Linked DNA regions of Styela clava. The protein of the gene in region 1 interacts with the protein of each later gene in a pairwise test. Links are inferred from orthologs where the notes say so. Each region holds a gene or a part of one and is shown on either strand. Other genes may lie near its edges. The genes, in order: inositol polyphosphate 5-phosphatase K-like and ADP-ribosylation factor-like protein 6-interacting protein 1.

What was found.
Region 2: the proteins of inositol polyphosphate 5-phosphatase K-like (region 1) and ADP-ribosylation factor-like protein 6-interacting protein 1 interact in binary tests that used the Homo sapiens proteins (3 or more experiments, as listed by UniProt). The link is inferred for Styela clava from reciprocal best matches to the Homo sapiens genes INPP5K and ARL6IP1.

The regions. Positions count from the first base shown.
Region 1 is NC_135252.1:22,906,640-22,917,279, forward strand, and holds the start of inositol polyphosphate 5-phosphatase K-like, read right to left. Parts: upstream 4,221-10,640; 5' UTR 3,782-4,220; coding exon 3,756-3,781; intron 2,577-3,755; coding exon 2,472-2,576; intron 2,101-2,471; coding exon 1,992-2,100; intron 997-1,991; coding exon 880-996; intron 1-879. UniProt on the Homo sapiens protein: Inositol 5-phosphatase which acts on inositol 1,4,5-trisphosphate, inositol 1,3,4,5-tetrakisphosphate, phosphatidylinositol 4,5-bisphosphate and phosphatidylinositol 3,4,5-trisphosphate.
Region 2 is NC_135263.1:19,670,808-19,681,223, forward strand, and holds ADP-ribosylation factor-like protein 6-interacting protein 1, read right to left. Parts: upstream 4,578-10,416; 5' UTR 4,540-4,577; coding exon 4,492-4,539; intron 4,077-4,491; coding exon 3,940-4,076; intron 3,483-3,939; coding exon 3,363-3,482; intron 2,252-3,362; coding exon 2,049-2,251; intron 1,550-2,048; coding exon 1,449-1,549; 3' UTR 788-1,448; downstream 1-787. UniProt on the Homo sapiens protein: Positively regulates SLC1A1/EAAC1-mediated glutamate transport by increasing its affinity for glutamate in a PKC activity-dependent manner.

The DNA.
Region 1 (10,640 bases):
TAGAACTAAAATTATGTCCCGAATCTTGTAACTTGTCAGAAACTATAAAATAAACCCAACACTCTTTAAAATGAATATTAATGACCTTGCTTTGAGAGTTACTTAATGAAAAATTCATTTTAAAACTGGCAAAATTATTCTTCATCACCATTCTAATCTCTTGGCAATGAAGACATGCTTGCTTTTAACTGCATTATTAATGGTGCTTGAACTATTTGTCTGAGAGTTCCTCCTTCTAAAACAGAGCTTCCTAAAGTTGAGTGACTGGGCCACCAGAGGCCCAAATTAGAAACTAAAAGATATTTTGCGGGCTGGGAAAGAGGAGCGCCCACAAGGACGGATACTGGTACCTGTACGAATGATTAAGATAGCCGTATAATTGAATTGTGACGAATATACAAGTGCGTAAACTGTGATAATGACGAAACAATCAGACGTATATTGAATGCAAAGAAGTAAAAACATGATTGTTGATGTATTTCACTATTTGTGAGAATTTTATTTCAACAAAAGAATTAAAGAATATAGAACTTTTTTCCAATCTTCAAAATGTTAAAAGTACTGTAAAAGTATATAGAAAATGTAAAAAGATACATAGCCTATTATAAAAGTAAATGGACCTTTCCTGTTCAGCATCGCCCACCCAATTAATCATATTTTTGATTAAACACTTTTTGGACAAAGACTTGTTGAGACCTGGGATCTGTGATTACACTACTATAATTTAAATATGATATGCTACATGAGACACACTGCCCCAAGAGTGATCACCATGAAAAAGTGGCTGGTTGACACTGGTTTGAGTGGAAATGGTATATAAAAAAGAAACGCCCATGCCACACCCACATTCACACAAAACTGATATATATAAAGACTCACCCATGCACCAGCAACTCCTGTTCTTTCAATTTCTGTCTTAACAAATTGAACATACGGCAGATGCTTGATTGATGCGAAAACACTCAGTGAAATCCCTTGAACTCTCACACTTTCAATCTGTCAAAAAAAAGTGAAGCTTGTTTCACAAAACTTCAATATGATAACGAATAAAATGCATGCTTATTTATTTTTCGATATGTTTTCATTTATTTTAGGTTCTAAGTTGTTTTAACTTCTATTTTATTTTATTTTGACACCAACATCAAGGAAGAAGGCAGAAACAAGTTGACTTAAAAAAGAAAATGATATTTCTTTTCAAATGTGAAAATCCGCCTTGGGGACTGACAAAATGTTTGACTAATTTTCTGTATTTCTAGCGACTGCCCTGTATATTCTTGATTATGCAATAATGATTAATTTCATAATGAGTAATGTTCAACAACAAAATTTGTTTTATTAATCATTGCAACATCATTAAATCTAAATTTTATAATTGAGTAGTTAAGATAAATATTGTTTTGATTGATTTTTCATTTTACAAAGTCAGAAGTTAAGTCAATTCTTTTTTTTTGTCTGATGTTTATTGAGATACCGGTAGATGTTATTTTGACTTACAACTTTATTCAACACCGTTAGAAGTTGGCCTAACTTTTACTTTTCTCTGATGTCCGATATCAAATTGTCAAAATGATAAATTTCAAAATAAATTATTCTAATCTACCTTATATCTAAAATGAAATATTTACAATATCAAATATAACCACTATTGAATGCATTTAATTTTCTATCTGTCTTGGATATCCGTGGAGGAGAATGAGCTCGCCATCAATCTACTGATTACCATGCATGGGTTTGGCAATTGAATCAGGGACCATGGTTCCCCATAAATTAACCCTTCCTTTTCAGAGAGAGGAAGAGAGTTTATTTCATTTGCCAAACCATAAAACACACAATATATGCAAACATTTATAAATAATAAATAGACAGATGCTTTGGTGTGTGACTGAGTTGCAACGATATGACCTTTTGGGTTCATCAGAGTCTGAATTAGTTTGTTGTTCACTTTTAACAGCTCTTCTCTCCCTAGGGTAAATTTTAAAAATCTATATTACCAAATAGAAACTTTTCTTTGACAGAAATTCCATGACAGCTTGAGCCCAGTCATCGTATTTGATGAAACTTTTCGCAGTTTCTTTCGCCCCAGTTTTGATTTCTTGAAACCTGGAAAAAATATTGATATAATTTTAAATTTTTATTATTTCCCTAAAACATGTGAGATAATTTACCACAACCAAACTTTTGAACACCCTGGCGCTTTTTCCCTTCTGAAGTTAATATAGAAAAATCCTTTTTTCACATTTTAAATGCAGGGGTCACAACCTGCAGAAACCCCAACTGGGTACTCCCTACTCACCTTCATCACCTTACCGAGGGCTTGAACAGAAAGTTATTCAAAGCAAAAGTCGTAACAGCACATCACAACTAAAAAAAACTACTAGGACCTTATATTTTAGACAGGTATTGCTAGTAAAAAGGTTCCTGCAATAACATGAAAACCTTGTTATGAAACTAAAAACATAACAGCTATTCACCCGATGGCATAGAAATCAACTTCAACATTTGATTTCAATAATTTTTCAATATCTTTCTCATCCAATGGATCAGCTTCCCCTACGTTCCATGTGCTGACGAATATTCTGGAATATATTTAACAAGGTGAAAATAACTATCTTTATGATAGAGAATAGAGATAGCCTCCCTGTGCTGGGAATTAGATAATATGCAGGATTTATTTATTTCTCCCATGAAAGAAAGTACATAAGACATCTATCAGTTTACTGCAGATAGTAGACTATTATTTTTGTATTTTCATTATTATATTGGGAGAACGGGAAAGCTAATAAGACAGCTTAATGATATGGCATATCACAGCCACAATGGAAATAGATTAAAATAAAATTTTTCGGGATGCGTAAACCTGATGTTTAACAATTAATACAACAGTGCAATAATTCTGATAAGATCAGTTTTTAATATATCCGCATGTTCCCCTTACAAAATTATACAAGCCTGTGTCCGGCAGTGTTATAATCAATGCCATGTAAAGATATAGGCTAATATAGTAATAATATCTGTATATGACGAAATGGACAATTAATTAAATACAAGGAGCAGTTTTGAGTTGAGTTAACCGAGATCGAGGAATAGGTAATTAAAATTTAAATGATATAATATTTTGGGTTGAACCCATTTGAACCCATGTGTATATCCGCGGGTTCAATCTATATGTGGGTGCTAAAATCCATGGGTTAGGGTTAGTATGGGTTCAAATATTCGTAAAACAAAATTTTTTTCTATAGGTGCAATAGTACGTAGGTTCAAATGTAATGGAACCAATATTTTGCTGTTCTGTTATTAACCATTTCAGCATTTTTTGGCTTCCCTTTTCTAGTTTCTGAGTTTCCTGTGATTTATATAAGAATTCTTAGCTTGAGTATTTTAAAAGTAAACAACAGCCAGAAAGTTTATTACATTCACATATTTTTTGTGTATTTTTGTATTTATTTCTGGCCCAAGCCTTGTTTAACAAAGTTTGAGTTTTTTATTTGTGAATGCTGTTGGTGAGCGGGCAAATGATACGAATCTTGTTTTAAACTTTTTTAAAGGTTTTGCTCGCACTCCAGAATTCTCCATTCTTTATTTGTTTGTACCATTGTCAGATTGTGGAGTTTTCAAAGTAAACTATCTATCTAATTCTGACATTCTACACCTTCATTATAAATGAATCAATGTCGTTAATAGTCTACACCAGTTCTGACAAGTACGGTACGGGACTCATGGTAAGATCTTATAATCAGTCATATAAAAAAACCTACCTGAATTTCTTAAACTGATCCGCCATTATTCCATTAACGTTCTCTTCCACTTCCTTGTCTGTTGACCAGTGGATAGCACCGAAGGCAGCCAGCAACACAACCAAAATCGCAACCCAAAAACTCGACGTTTTTACTTTTTTTCGTTGCAATTAAAACAAAAACTGTTTTAATCAATTCTGAAATCAGAGAAAATAGCGAACAACAGAACAAATCGTCGAACCCAAGTCCTTGCAGAAATTGCGAAACCGCAAAATGTAAACAAAGCGTTCGCCAGCCAGCCAGCTGTACGAGACTTATTCAGCCGTGCAACTGTCAACTTGATAGACTTCCTCCAGATTTTTTCGTTATATTCCGATTTAGCTTATTCCAAAACTCTTCACACCAGCTCGGTGTGAATATAAATTCTGTTTGAGTTTGTACATTTTAAAAACACTTGCACCATTACATAATAAAAACCAAATAACTAAATTTACATAGGAACGTCCAAACCATATCAAAGGTTTGCAATGTTTGTGGCGAGGACTCTGAACACACGTTTGATACACAAGTATCCTGTTCAATTCGGGCACATCGATACGACACACGTCTTACCAAAGGACTCGAAAGGAAATCACCGATCATTGTCAAATTTGTACGTCGAAGCGTTAAATGCCAAATTTATTCTGCCCCAAAAGGACTCCGCGGAACCCGCCTTTCCATCACCGAATCTCTTCCCGAACGACGCCGCATCTTGTTGACTGAAGCCCAACGACTATCTTTCGGCAATTTGGATTGTAGTACAGCCGTTACATAGTCTATTAGAAAGCATTGATGACCAGAAAAAATAATACTGATGTTCTATCATGCCATGGTTGTAGTAAAATTGTAAAAGATAATGAATAGCCTACAGTATTTTTTGCGACCACTGTTCACACTGGATTCATTTGAAATGCAGTGGTTCATCCCAAAATGAGTACAAGAAATTGGAAAAAGAACCCTATTGTGTTCCATGGTGCTGTAGACCAGGGTTTCTCAAACTTTTGGTGTTACGGAGCCGTTGAAGAAGTTGATTATTATTCACGGAGCCCACAATAAATTTTAAAAATAAAACAACACATTGTTACTTGACGATTAATGTTCATGGGTAAGTTGAAATTACTTTAGGATAGGATAGGATAAGATCTACATATTTATCCCGGGGAAGAGGAAAGCCGATAAGACGGCTTATCCATATGGCGAACCACGGCCTCTCGTCCGGTTACCATTCCAAGTCGGGTATGGGATTAGATTTACTGTATTGTTTGTTTTCGGGAGCATGGACTTGGTGGTGGAGGAAGCCGTAACTGACCAGCGGTTACGTGAACCACCCAACGACGGCGAGGAATCCAGCAATCCTCTCGCACATAACCATTCCTGCATGGGATTCGAACCTGCGAACCCACGCAGAGTAGTTAGAGGTGCGGTGGCGAGCGTATTCCTAACGCTTAGCCCGTTGAGCCACACCGCCGCGCCCCACTTTAGCCCTACTACCGCTACCTACTTTACCCAATTCAAAAGCTAAACCTTTTATAATATATTATATACCATAAATAAAAGCCACAAATGATGCTAAATTTCACAAATAAATTTCATATATATATATATGTATTGAGATGTGCTGTCTTGTCCATTAGGGAAAATAAGCACGTGCTTAGGGAGCAAAGGAAAATGGGGCACCACAGAAATTTTAAACCTCCTGAACTCAGGTTGTGTACCAGGTTAGGGTTCAAGTTATGCGACATCTTGGTGCGCATGCTTCAGGAGGTCCAAAATTTTAATATACAGACCGCAATGAATGCACTTATAATACAATGGAAGATTAATTGACCACGGCCTTCACATTGATTACAGCCTTCAAAAATTTCATCTGAATCATGAGAACTATTGTCACGGATTTTATTATCCGTGTGTTTTAGTTTAGTTTGTCTTTTTATATTTGCCTATATGCTTTTTCGAGGACCCTTAATTTGGATATACTTCATCCGGGTCCGGTTATTGTGAGACTCCAATCACCCTCGAGTTGTTAGAAAAAGAGTTTCACGCTCTTCTTTTCCGGCTGCCGCGCTGGCAGGCGGGCGTGTTTTCTGTATTCTGTGTTTTTTGCTGTTTTAAGTGTTTTAAACACGAAGTTGTCGCCATAATAAACCACAAATCCGGAATCTGAGTCTTCTGATTCAATACACTGTAGAAACATCTACTAACCGTTACACTATGACGCGTGACCTCGACGTAGTATCAGAATGAATAGAAAGGTGCATAACACGCGCAATTTGCTACATTTCATCTTTAATGACTGGGGTAGCATGTTTCACATGTCGTGGGATTCTTCGGACAAAATTTACGGTGTTTTTCATTTTTTAGTGTGTACGATATCGTTTCAATCTATAAAAGGGCATAACGCATCGCCAATTTTTATCTGAGATGTTTTATAAATTCAGAAAAGTAAACCAGAGATACGACGGCTAGTTAGCACAAGAGACAGAAAGATTAAATTAGTATTCCTCCACTGACAGTCAGAAATTTGGTTTGCACATTCACTAATTTGAATTATCTTAGCATTTTCCTTAAAAACTAAACTAAAATGAACAACTGTTTTAAAACGGGATATTCACGCATTCAACAGTTGAAGCAGCGCACACGATAGTCTCAGATAAACGCTTTCAATCGAGGTACGAATGAACATGATTCGAATAAATGTAAATTGGGAGCTCGCGAAATATGTGCACCAAGATGGCGCACAACCTTAACATAGTATGTGTACCAGATTAACTTTCAGGTTGTGCGCCATCATTCTGTAGGCGATTAGCCTCGTCACAGGCTGTCAAGTGTGACGTCGTTAATCAAGTAAGATTTTAATCCACCCTATTCTCAACAGCAGCTGTAGCTCAGGGGAAGCGTTCAGACATGATCAAACATTAGGATCGTGGTTCGAACCCCACATGGTGGAGTGAGTTGTAGGGGTAGACCATCAAACAAGGCAGACGGTCGAGGGAGAAAGAGGCAGGCGAGAGCAGCAGCAAAAGAAAAAATCGAGGCGAAAGATATCAAGACGAGAGCAGTTCAGGGGGGGGGGGGGAGAAAGGTCAGGCGAGCAGATTTCAGGCGAGAGCCAGGAAAAATAAATAGGAGTAAGTAAATCGATCAGCGGGATGGCCAAACGGTCAGTGTGGAGTAAAAATGGAGACAAGGCCGAGCAGTTGAGGAGAGGTCAGTGTGGAGTTTAATAATGGAGACAAGGCGAGGTCAGGCGAGAGCAGCAGCCGAGGAGAGCAAGATGAAAAGAAAAAAAAAATCCGCCATAAGGGCGGATGCAAATAGGGAGAATTGTTACGTCACTTTTTGCATCTTGCTGATAAAATTAATCAGCGGGATGTCCAAGCCATAAGGGCGGATGCAAAAAGGGAGAATTGTTACGTCACTTTTTGCATCTTGCTGATTGGCCAATGTCACGAAGTAAACAAAGATGCTCAGGGAAAGGTCCATTATCTTTGAATGACCTTTCTATCTCTGTCCTCTGATCTCATTGACGACCAGGATGAAATAGCCTCGGGACTATGCGATTGTCAATATATAAGTGCAAACGATATTGAAGAGATTTGTCCAAGCTTAAAGCGAAACAGTTATCTTTTCACAATGTGCGCAAATATGCGTTCGCTTTCTAACCCAAAAAAATTTGCCAAACTGAAAGTTTTGTTAGAATCAATGACTAGTCGACCCGATAAAATTGCGGTTAACGAAACTTGGCTTAGACCCGACCAAGTTGGCGCACATATAAGTTTACGTGATTACAGATTCATTTCTCAAATGCGAGAATAAACCCTAAGTGTGGTGGAGTAGGCTTGTATATTAGAGATGGTATTACCTTCAAAACCAGACCGGAATTGTCCATAATGAAAGAGAAAACGTTCGAATCATTATTTGTCGACGTTTATCTCAGAGACCGAATTGTAACTTGTGGTACTGTTTACCTATCCCCACTGTCTGATAAGTCGAGAAATAAAGATTTTTTAATCTCATGAACACTGTTTTGTCCTCACTATCAAGACACAGTATACTAATGGGTGATCTTAGTTACGACCTGATGGACTACTCGCACCGTTTCGTCAACGAATTGACTGGGTTGATGAACCTATTTTTCTCCCACTATAAACGAACCGACCAGAATAACTGAAAACAGCGCGACAATTCTTGATCATATAATATATGGACAAACATATACGATCGAAAACCTGTCAGTGCTATTCCAACCGATGCAATCTCTGATCAACTACCTGTAATAGCCATGTGACCGATAGGACAAAAAAAACACTTAAAAACGAAGAAAAACAGTTTTTCTCGATCATTTAATTCGGCCAATATGACTAATTTTAGTGGTTCCATTACATTTGAACCCATGACAATTGCACCTGCATACTATTGCACCTATGGAATTTTTTTTTGTTTCACGGATATTCGTTCGAACCCATACTAACCCTAACCCATGGGTTTTAGCACCCGCATATAGATTGAACCCGCGGATATACACATGGGTTCAAATGTACGTGAGTTCAAATGTACGGTCACCAATTTTAGTACGTCATTAGAATGTATCGATTTCTCTGTAGTGTGTGAAGAATCAGACCCGGACGATGCCGTTAGAAAATATTCTTGCAATGTTATGCCAGTTTATAATCGTTGTTTTGCTCAGATTTTGATCAAAAAATCTAACAAAAAGTGGTTTGATAAAGAATGAACAAAACTTCATAAGAAAAACAAAAACTGTACAAATCAACTCTCATAAACAAATTGCACTATTCTAGGAAATCAAGAAAACGTACGAAAAATGATATTGGCCAAAAACCATTCTTACTACAGATTGCTCTTGAGTAAAACTAAAAACGATCTGAAAAAATCATGGCAAACAATGGATACCTTGCTAGAGTGATGCAAATCTAAACAGTGGTAAGATTAAAATTTTTTGTCAGCCGGTTCCTTCACAAAAGTTTTATTTTTCAGTCGGTTCTGTTACAAACAGAACATTGACAGTAACTCAGTCACGCTAACCGGTTCGCTGATCTCATAAAATTTCGAGAGACGGTTCTATAGAACCACTGAATCTAAACTGTCGGAAGTATTTGTTGTAGGAAATAAGGAAACGTGTGATCCTGTATGGATAGCTGATAGTTTCAATGAACATTTTTCTACGATAGAGAAGCGAATGGCTGATAAATTTACTCATGATAATGACGGTAACTTCATGGACAAATCTAGTAACTCTTCAATGTTTCTGTCACCGGTGACAGCCACAGAAATCAGAGCAATGCCATGAAACTTATAATCTTTCCTTGCAATTGTGACAATTTATTGATGTATTTAAAATCGCTAAAGTAGTACCGCTTCATAAGGGCGGAGACATGAAAAATGTCAAAAACTATAGTCCGATTAGCTTACCGCCGATTTTAAGATTTCAGAAAACGTCCTGTACAATAGACTAGTTAACTTTTTAGAACAAAAGAGTTTTTTCTACCATCAACAATTTGGTTTTCGCAAGGGACATACCACCTCTCAGGCTACGTCCCTACTTACAAGTAAGGGTGAATTTGAAACATCTTGCTTTCCAAACTCTACCACATAGGTGTTAGAGGTCATTGCTTTTCGTGGTCCCGTAGTTACCTGTTCGATCGCAAACAAGTGTTAGTTTATGACGGGCACTCTTTAAGTAAATACTGCGACTTAACAATTGGGCCCCTCAAGGATCGTTTATGGGGCCTATATTTTTCTTGATTATGATTGATGACTTCCCTAAATCACTCGAAGACGTTGATGCTATCCTATTTGCAGATGGTACCACTCCGTTCCTACAGGGTAAAAATTTACCAGACATTATTGAAAAAGCTTATGCTGACCTTACGAATATTCAGTCATGGCTAATTGCTAGCAAACTAACAGTAAATGCGGAAAAGACCAAGTACATGATTTTCAATGCAGCTAGAGTAGACAAAAACTATCCATTCTTAACGATGACCTCATTCTGCAGTCCAAGTGCATTCAAAGAGTAAACCAAATTCGTTTCCTGGGTGTTTTGTCCGATGACAAATTGTCATGGAAATATCATTCACAATTGGTACTATCAAAAACAAGGAAAGCATTCGAGCTATTTCAAAAATCAATAAAAATCTTAATAAGTCGTGCCTGTTATCATTATACCATTCATAATAGAAAGTCATATACGATATTGTATATACACTTGGATGCATCGTCAAAATGGTATTACAGCAAAAATTCAAAGTGTCTGTAATCACTTCTTGAAAATGACTTTTGATAGGGGTCGGAGAGACAGTGTTGCGGATTTGTTCAAAAATGAAAAACAACTACGTGTTGAAGATTTACTAATACTTGAGATTTGCACATTATTGTTTTTATCTTCTACTGGTCAACTCCCTAGTTGCTTTGATTGCGTATTCTCGAATAATAATTCCCGGAATAGCAGAAGTCATTACACTGGAACCTGAGACATGGACGTACACGTAGTCATAAACAGACTATTGTACATATCGTCGTTGTCCCGTATCTCGTTGTATTGTGTATTTTACAAGAGTTATATTTGTAAAGTCAATTTCATGTCTGTTGTCCTAGTACAGCGTTTCCCAAACTTTTAGGCCACGGAACACTTACGCTTTTTATCTCGCCTCGCGGAACACCAAAAAATGAAAGGGTGAAATTGATAAAGAAAAATGGTGTAATGGCCCCAAAAGGTATGCTACTAGTGCGCTGTAGCGTGTTGCAAAATGCGCCGCGAAAACTTAACAGAATTGTGTTCAACATAACTGAAATATGATCGAATATTTTGCATATTGCATTTATTATAAATGTTTATTGCTCCGTATT
Region 2 (10,416 bases), on another chromosome or scaffold:
CCCCTACTATATGGGCTATGACGAACTCTTTTTTGAGTCTTAAGAGGTCGGGCCGTTATTAGATCCAGCAATTTGGCTGTTTTTCTTCATTGGGATATTACGGATTTGATTCGTATTAGCTGTTAATTTGCTAATATTGCGGTATTTCATTGTGATTTTAATTCTTATTAGCTGCATTGCGGTAATTTACTGTAAATTTAATTTATATTAACTGTTATTTTAATTCATATTAGCTGTTGTTTGCGGTATTTTACTGCGAATTTAATTCATATTAGCTGTTATTATGGTTTTTTACTGTGATATCTAGATTTACTGCGCTATTTTTGGATCTGTGTTATTTGGTATGGACCATAAGGGTCTGGTGTAATAAACGAATTGAATTATTACGTATGTGTGCTTGCGTAAGAGTTTTTAATTGAACTACTAACCTGGTTGACCACCCCAAGATAATTGGAGCCCTGTGGATCCAAATACGTTTGTATTTTCCATCTCACAACAAATTCACGCTCGGCTATAGACCACCATGAATGACAAAGTTATTATTAGTTTTATAAGGCTTGCCTATACGGTTCAATTTTTATTTGCAGTTCTTTCGTCGCTTCACAGGGATTATTTTTTTTATTTTTTCAATCTTATTAACAAATTTCTCCACTTTCAAATGCGCTAAAATTTTACCCAGGTGATAGGAATGTCGAGTAGTGAATAAATGGCCCAATTAAAGTAAGTCTTCACAAAGTGAAACGGGAAAACTTTGATCACAACTCCATTCTTTCAAAGGCGACTTCAATAGCTGGTGACCACAATGTGTTTATTCACAACTTAAAATATGTTGGCAGTACAGTCGAAAAACAACGAAATCACACATGCACACATACATCTAATAATACCCTATATAACAAAAAATCATGAGAAACAAAATATCACAATAATGTATACAAAATCCTACAAACAGTTTCTACATCATAATGTGAGTAGACTGGATGCTTTATGGATCATATGAAGAAACCATGCAGCAAAAAAAGAATTAAAATAATCTCGTGAGGAATGTAATAGCAAGTTGCTTAGCAGACCCTTCTATTTCAAAAAATAACAGGACCAGATTAAACATCACACTCCATATTCCACTCATGTCTAGAAAATTCGCAGCTATTTCATCTGATATGTGCAAGAAAATTTCAAACTTCAAAGCGTAATACAGCACTACATATAATTAATACTACCTATTAAACGGCTTTATGCCAATGAAGTATAATTTGACAAAATAGATTGACATGACAATTATAAGTTGACTATCAACAAGTCCACAAATGCTGTATGCTTAAAGATTGCTTTTCGATTTCAGGTTCCGAAAATAATAATTGGACATTACAAGAAAATGCTTATATTCCTAAAATTATGAATACGATTACACGGGACATTAAATAGTCAAATGAACAAACAGATTATGATTACTGAGACTTTTGCTTGTTGATAACTTTTTTCACATGTGTTGCAATCTTGTCCAGAATTCCATGCTCACTGAGGCCAGGCAAAGCAGATACAATCAAAACTGTAAATACACATAATTTGGACATAAAATACCTATTTAATCGAGAATATAGAACATAGCAAAAAATGGTGCTCCAGAAGTGTATGTACCAATATGGAGGTAACCAATTTTGTTGCCTACTTTACATCAAGTTGGATGAAGGGACTGAAACCTATGGGCAGGGGGCACTTGATTAACACAGACAGTCCCAGAACTCGTTATAGAACTAAAATATTCTCAGTTCAACCGAAAAGCTTTAGGAAAATCGGGATAAAATTATGGCCTAACCCTAACCTGGTATATACTATGAGAGGACCCTAATTTTTGTGTCAGGTCATTTTAATGACCTTAATGATTCAGGGTTTCTATCTTTGAACTGCTTTTTTATTATATGGACTTCAGTCAGTATACCTGATTGGTGGCAAATATAATTTTAAAATACCATTATTAGGGAACTCCAATGTCTTGCAGCAACTTTGTTTCCGTGATAAGTTGAGAGTTAGAAAATGGCAATTCTTACCGAAGAAATAGGCAAGCAGCAGGTTATGCATTTGATTTCCAAGCCATGCTAATGTACTGAGTGATACGGTGATCGCAGCCATGTACAACCATGGATTCTTATCCTTCAGTTTTCCGGCATTGGAGAACAAACTGGAAATAATCTTCTTTGACTGTACCAGTCCATCACAGGCTTGTACGTATTGTTTCTCTTTATCGCTACTCCTGCAATGTATCATGATATAAAGTTTTATTGAAAATATTAGAACTCAAATTCACATATATATTTGGAAATCTATTCAGCATATAAAAATTATATAAAATATATCAATGTCATAACCTTTTCACGAATCTATATTAGTGAGCTTTGCCTGTGGATTATGTGTGTATATGTTTAAGTCTTATATTACTTTTGAAATTTTCTACTGAAATTATTTTGACTAAATGTATTTTACATCAATTTATATAGTAGTCTATAAACAATTTCCGACAAAATAACACCTAAATTTTCAAAAAACCATAATATACATAAATAACATACGGTAAATAGAAATATTCTGTGAGCATGCCTGAATAATAATGAAACAAAGCTTGATCTATCAATTAATAGAAATTCTGTAATAGCCAGGAGTTCTGAATGGAATATATTACAGACAAAAATTTAAATTATTTAGCACCATTAGCTTTTTTGTTGCAATCTACAGACTAGCTGTTTTGGGAATTTTGCATGCGAAACGCTTCATTGCATAGACAGTCACACACAATAAAGTCATGACGTGAGTGCACAGGAAGGAAATGGTGATGCAACATATAAATTTTAGCTGTATTATGCAATGGCAGCATTTTATGGATGGCCCAAGCTTGTTAAAAAATGAAAACTCTAGACATTAACCAGTGTTTTATTCAGTCCAGATCACTAAAATCGCCTAATCATAAAGGTAAGAACATCATACATAAGTGAAAGTTACTTTATGGCAAAGAATTGACCTTCCAAAATGCAAATACAAAATTAATTGCATAATAATATATAATATGCGACAACACAGTATTGATTGTTCACAATGCGTGCACTCGATGAACAGACATCTTAACTGTCTGAGAGAGGTCATTTGTTGACAGTGGTTAATGCAGGTATCGCTTTTACTGTGATCTGATCAAACATTCATAAAAATGCAGAGAAATACATTAACGACACAAAAGTGTTCGATCACCAACAAAGGGTGTTAAATTTTGTCCAGATAATAAATCTGGATGAAAAAAAACTCACAGATCCAATAACATAGAGAGCAGTGCGCTAATGTACGAAACTGAAAATAACAAAACAGACGCAACATACCAGCTTGTTTCTGGAAAAATCATAGGCATTGCGAGTGGCACAACATAGTCAGCGATACATGCAATCATGATCAACATTGAGAATCCAGTAACCACAGATGGGTCCAACCACCAAATTAACCTAAATAGAATAGAAAATTGAAAATTTTACTCTGTATCGATGGAACTAAAAGCTTTAATCAAAATTTGGTTTTACTTTTGAGTCTGACTTCAGAGCTGGAGTCCAATCAATTTTATTGAACCAAGAGTTAAAAGAAACCAGACGGATTCAAACGAAACAGATTATTTAGAACAAAGTAAATTCTAATTTGACTGTAACAATATTTATGTTATTTCTTTGCAAATGGAAATTATTTATACATATAATAATAAAGTCTATCAATTGCTTTTCACTTGTGTTCCAGTTGTGCAATAGACTCAACCCAAATTTATTGGTGTCAAAATACAGTTACTGATCGTCCGAAACTGTTCATGAGTTATTTGGGTAAGACCAAAACTTATACATACTTTTTACTATGATGTTAACTATAAACAAATTCTCTTGACAATGATACATTTTGAAAACAGGTTCAACTTACGAAAAAAATAATGAGACAATCGCAAAAACAATAGCTGCGTAGTATGCTTGTTGCCACTTCAGAAGTTTAGCAAGAACAACAATTACTTCTCTCCATCCTTTCAAACTCCCCTTCAAAGTTCCCCCACTGCTTGATCCCTAAACATCAACCAAAAGTTTAATGTGTCAATGGCATGTTTGAAAACACTTTTCAACAGTTTTGTTGAATAAAATGCTAAACATAAAATACTTGATACCGTTTTAATTAAAAATCCCGTTAACTACTGAAATGGTGGTAAAGGGTGTAGAAAATGTGGCCATGTCAAAAACACATCTCAAGTGCACGAACAACATTCTTGGACCGAATAGACATTTACATAGATATACCTTTAATCAGGCAAAAAAAAGGTTTGTTAGGATGGTTAAATAAATACCAGCAGCCAAACCATACTGCCGTGCTAATTATAGAACTTGGCTTGAGTGGAATAACAAAATTACTTAACAGTAATATCCGAGTTTGAAATGGCATTCAAATATCTTTATAAATATGTGAACAGAAAAGAATTGCATGTACCTGCATAATTGGTGGCAAAAAATCTCCAGATTCAACAGGATTTTCCATATTTGATGCAAGCTAAGCAATTATGTAATTTAATCACTGCAATAATGCAAAAAACAATCAAAATATTGCCTCAGAGGCAGGGATGGCCATTTCCGAATACTAAACTATTCCGAATACATTCTAAAATAATGTTTTCGAATCTGGAATTCCGAATACATTCTAAAATCGAAAATAACACATTTTTGTTTTAGTTGATTAAAACCCAGTAAATTAGGAAATAAGCATCAATAGAAATATCAGAATGAAGCCACAGACCAACAGTATATGTACACAAAGTAATTGATAGTTTATAGCTATTAATAAAAAATAATAGCAACTTGTGACAGTCAGTTTATTAAAATTATTCACTTTGTACAAATGACCATATGAAAAGATAGCCAAGGAGTTGTCTGACGCTTTCTATCATTGGTATCAAGATATTACGATAATAGTCGAGTCTATTGACAAAAAATACTACTTGTATTCAGATAATTGTGTATATTTTCTGAGAGTTTTTAAATTTATTGGCAATACAGGCAACAACAATCGAAAATCCATCATGCCTTTAAAAATTCTAATATTTAAGCCTTGAGTATTCTACTACCTACCAGTATATTTGTATATAAATTTATGTGAACCATATTGTTATTATGTGTAACATATTGTTGTGTTTGGAGTTACAAATAAATTAGTAGAGAATAGATGACCAGCACTGCCAGCGCGCAGCCAGGATTTTTGAAATCGGAAATTCCCATTGCCGCCTGTAACACCCACCGCGATCTCGCACTCGTTAAAAGAGCCGACTTGTCAGCGTATACTGATCATTCTGTTACGTAAAATATTCAATCCATGACAACTACGAGATTCTAAAATATCTTTATATATTAATTTAATGTGTCCAACATAACTCGCGGTTGCTTCTTCTTACGTCAAAAAAAAAACATTACTATTCGGTCCACCGCAATCTGTGACCGAAAAGTACGAGATAAACTGCCTGATGTATTTAATTCTAATATGTATTTTTGCAATCTTGCCAACTCGTTATCGCCGTTAGAAAAATCTCAAATATTTATATAAAATCATGTTAAGTGTAGAGAGTAATTCATTTCATACAATGAATATACATACAATATACCGTCGCCGCGATTATGCCACCTGTTAAAAGAGTCGACGTTTACAACAAATAATATAACAACGAATATATATTTTTCTGTTGTGCAAAGTGATGAATTCGTGACCGACACGGCATATTTAAAATGTCTTGCTCTTATTAATTTAATTGTCTTCAATTTATCCTGCGGTTGCGTCGACAAAATAAAATCCTCACCACTCTTATATACCGTTGCAAACCACGGCCATAAAAATAAAAACGTGAGGTAAACTGTCCGATTAAGTATTGTTTTTATCCGTATTTTGCGAATTCGGCAAATATTCAGATGTACTTGTTAACAGTGACTCCGCTCGATCGAAATGCTCAGAGTAAAATATCTCAGAGTAAAATTTATTTCATCACAATAAAATTGATTGAATATACTTTAGATTAATTATATTATATACATCCTCACAACCAGGGAAAAAGTCGCGTTTCAAACCTTGTATCGTGTTAACACGAAAATATTCGACGACAATTTAAATGGATAATCAGGCAAATCCCGCCCTCAATTAGTGACGATATGTTTCTAAACGCCGACCAAACATAATGTGTGCCAGAGGCACACGAAATTTTGCGATTTTCACTGCCTAGAAAAGCGTTTTTTAAATTTTCGCGGGCCTCAATAAAACTTATGTTGTTTACGGTTTTATTTTCAGTATTTTAAATTGCCGCTTTTCAATCAAAAAGTTGCGTTGTCTTTAGAAACTCGCCGCCGATGAACGTATTTACCAGATTCACAATTCCGTGCGTATAATACAAAAATAAAATAAATGTTATCGTTATCGTGGAACAAATTAGAGAAAATAACACAATCGTAAAGGCGTTTACGGGCCTAAATAACACGTTACGCTGATGAGTGATGAAAACAATCACGCGCAAGTTTTCTATCGAGAATGTTTTCATTCAACGGAAACATCTTGAAAGCGGCGTCGAAAATGTGTGACGTCACACAAATATCCGATATTCTTATGAACGTGAATTCCGATATTCGAATGACGAGATATTCGAATACATTCGAATACTTTATTCGAATTGGCCATCCCTGCTCAGAGGTTGGCAATAAGCCAGCTTACATACTATGCAAAGCTTTTGCGGCAAACCAATGTGAATGAAAAACAATAACAAGTGCAATACAGTGATGGTAGTTAACATAATCTGTTCAGGACTGATGTTAGACTACTGATTTGTTCGAGTATCGAAACCTTTTTTGCCATAATGAAACAAAGGTAATTATTTTATTCGTTCTTATGCATTCAATTATAATCAAAATGTGTACCTGAACAACAACAATTATTTAAATATGTATATAATTGAGATATAAACTATTTTACTGTAGGTTAAAACAAATTTTTTTGAGCTATGGCAGTGGTTCACAAACCTTTTTTTTTCGCGACCCCAATTTTCATGAAAAACCAAAGCCTACAGATACTCGCGACCCCACAACTTGAAACGTTGAGCAACTTCAAAATGACCTCAATGGGAACAATGTACCTGTATATCGACTGCAAGTGGATGTTTACGATAAATATTAGCTAAAAATATATATGAACGAGTCCGGTAACGCGCTAGAAAACCCCAAAAGATTTGATACCACATGAAATCGTATGAAAACTATGATGTAAAAATCTCTCAGATCATAATTATAACGGTTCTTTGGCGAAACATTGACAAACTTGATAAAATGTCGTAGATTGTAAAGAAGCGTATGATACTTAGTAGGAAATAGTATGATTGCTTCTAAATATACATGAATTTAGAATCTTATTTAGTATATTTCAAAAGTGTCTTGTTCTATATAAACATATTACAGATTGCTCCATTATTATTTTAAAAATAAAACAGAGCATGAAAGTAAAATAGGAAAAAACGTGTAAGGAATCAAATCTTTTGAGTGCCTTTTATTATGCTAGAACTTGTGGTTTTTGAGTTCTCGGAACGCTTTGAAATTACGTATTAAACGTCTAAATATGTAATATTGCAATACAAAATGTTCACTTTTATGTGAAGGCGATGTGGACAAAACACGTAGCCCACTGGTCGATTTTAGACACATGCGCGAATTAACAAAGCGCTTTCGCAACTGATCAAAACCTGAAATGTAATTACCCGCCTGGCAATCAATACCATACTTGTCAAACACCTAAGAAAGCAACTTTGCTTCGTATATTCGAAACCAACATAATTTCTTGCAGTCTGGCAAAAAATCTGATTCGCGAACCAGAGGGTCCACTACTCATTCGGATGTAACATGATCAAAAAGGAGAATATTATTAGCGCTCGTAAGTTGTCGTAACACTGTCATTCAATTACATTCACTAATATGGTACCTGCCGACCATCTGAAAAGGTTAGGTACCGCATGAAAAATCCGAAGTTAGATACTTTCACGGTACCTGCCGACCATTCCAAATCCTATATTCACTTGTGTGCACATTTTTGACAGAAATTAGGCGGGGTCGCTACCCACAGTTTGGGAAGCACTGCTCTATGAAATTCGTTTTTTTGTGTGTTATGAGTTTTATGACATCATTCAAATTGCTGTGGCGGAGACGCTTTTGCATTAATCGCATTGTCGGTAGTCCACTGGCACTACTAATGTTTTGGTCGACCACCGAATTGTTCCAGTATTGAGTTATTCGACTCTCGAGGTATCACTACATATGGTCTGATGCTGTTGGGCAGGGTAGAAGTCCCTAAACCAAGAGATGCGAGGCAATTTGACTTTGAGGCACAGGAGATATCACTGGTACTGCAGTACTGGGCAAATTTTTCGTAAAAATTGATATAAAGGATTCAATGAAACCCAGTAAGTTAGCAGAAAATCTGTGTAATTTTTTTTTATTTTGAACATATGAATTACCCCATTTCAATGGGACACAAGAGCAAGATTTTTCATAATAATTCAGTAAAACCGAATATAGACAACCTAATTACAAGTGCAGTTTTAGGTATTTTGTGGAGTCTGAAGCTGCCGCAAAACCATGGCGGGACTTCTGAAACAATGGCCGCTAGGGCCAAATTGCGGCAACTGACTTTTTAGCTGCCACAAACCAATGGTAAGATGCCGGTACCACGGCAGCAAATTGAAAATCAACGGCGGATAAAATTTTGCCGCCGTAACCAAGGCATGTCAGCTGTAATGGCAAGGCTGCCCCTGATGATGACAAATATTGGGTAAGTTGGAATATCTTTCTTATGGATAGAGTTTTTTTGTAAAATCATGTAAAAACAAGTTTTTCCAATTGTTATTTATCTACTAATTAAATACACTTATATAGACATTTGTATATATACTTTGTAGATAATACTCTTCATACACAGTTACATAATAATGTTAGCTCTCTTGTGAAATTGGGTGAGTTTTTAAGTTTCTCTACTTTATTTCTACATTTTAAAGCATTTTTAACTTTGTTTATTACACTATTACCACTTGGCATAACATTTTGAAAAATTACTGCATTTCGATGCAACCAAATCTTATACCTAGTAATAGACAATAACAAAATAATAGCATTTTTTTCTACAATTGATAAATGTTCATAATAATGGTTACTCAAATCTAATAATACACAAGTTTCATAATCAATTGAATTGTTTCTGCCAGTTATTTTCATTATAATCAAAAAAACATAATCATATACTTGTTTTACAAACGGACAATTCATAAACAAATGTGATACTAATTCTGTTTCTATATCACACATAACACACAAGTCATTTCAAGCAATAAATCTAATTCTAGATACACATTTGAGTGGCAAAATATTCCACATTAATTTATAATTGAAACTTTTCACATAATTTGCTAAAATGTCATTGTGAGTATTTGAACATGGTTTTTCAATATTACTTCTGCAAAGAAATACCATTCTTTCACTCTTTAGTGAGTTGATTATTTTGTTATACAATACTCTATGATATTCTTGCCTAGCTTCTAGTAAAGTAATTTTATGCATTTTCATAAATTCTATAATGAGTTTATAAATCTTATGAGGTTGTAAACTATGTTTGACACTATTATTTACAGACAAACCATAATATACAGTTGATTGTTGCCCTATGTTGAATTCTATTAAATTTGAAACAGTTCTATTTTTTTGGTTATCACTTATCAGTATCTCTATCATATGGATACAGTTTTGGGGTTAACGTACGTTTCAGGTTTGGGTAGATATAATTCTGCATAATAAACTAAAATCTGGTACATGAATTTGTAAATATACCGGTATTACTACTGTACTGATTACTGAATAGCACCATAAAACCATGGCAAGAGACGCCTTTGTTCGTGGCAGGAGCTGCCATAAAGTGGTAGGAACTGCAACCCCTTAATCATGTGGCAAAACCAAAACTCAGTCCAGTAAGTTAATAGTTAAATACTGAAACAAGTACATTGTTCCTGATACCGGTACAGGGGCTGCCAAGGAAACAAAACAACAAGAAAATGCAGAAATACCTGGACGACGAGAATTCTGTTCAGGAAAAAGTTAAAAACGTAGGGACCAAACTCTAGGTAGCGGCAGCCTAGGCCAACCCACAACAAAATAGTGTACCTACAGGTCGGCAGTCACTACAGCACCACTGTAGTGAATAAATTTCCATAAATAAATATTTGTGGAGTAGGTAGACTATAACGTTATATTTGTATTTATAGGCCAATCATTATTTTCAAACAAGTTATTTTTTGCCAATCGATCGAATTTAATTACCTCCCCATCCAAATTTGATTAGATCCCATTCCCGAAA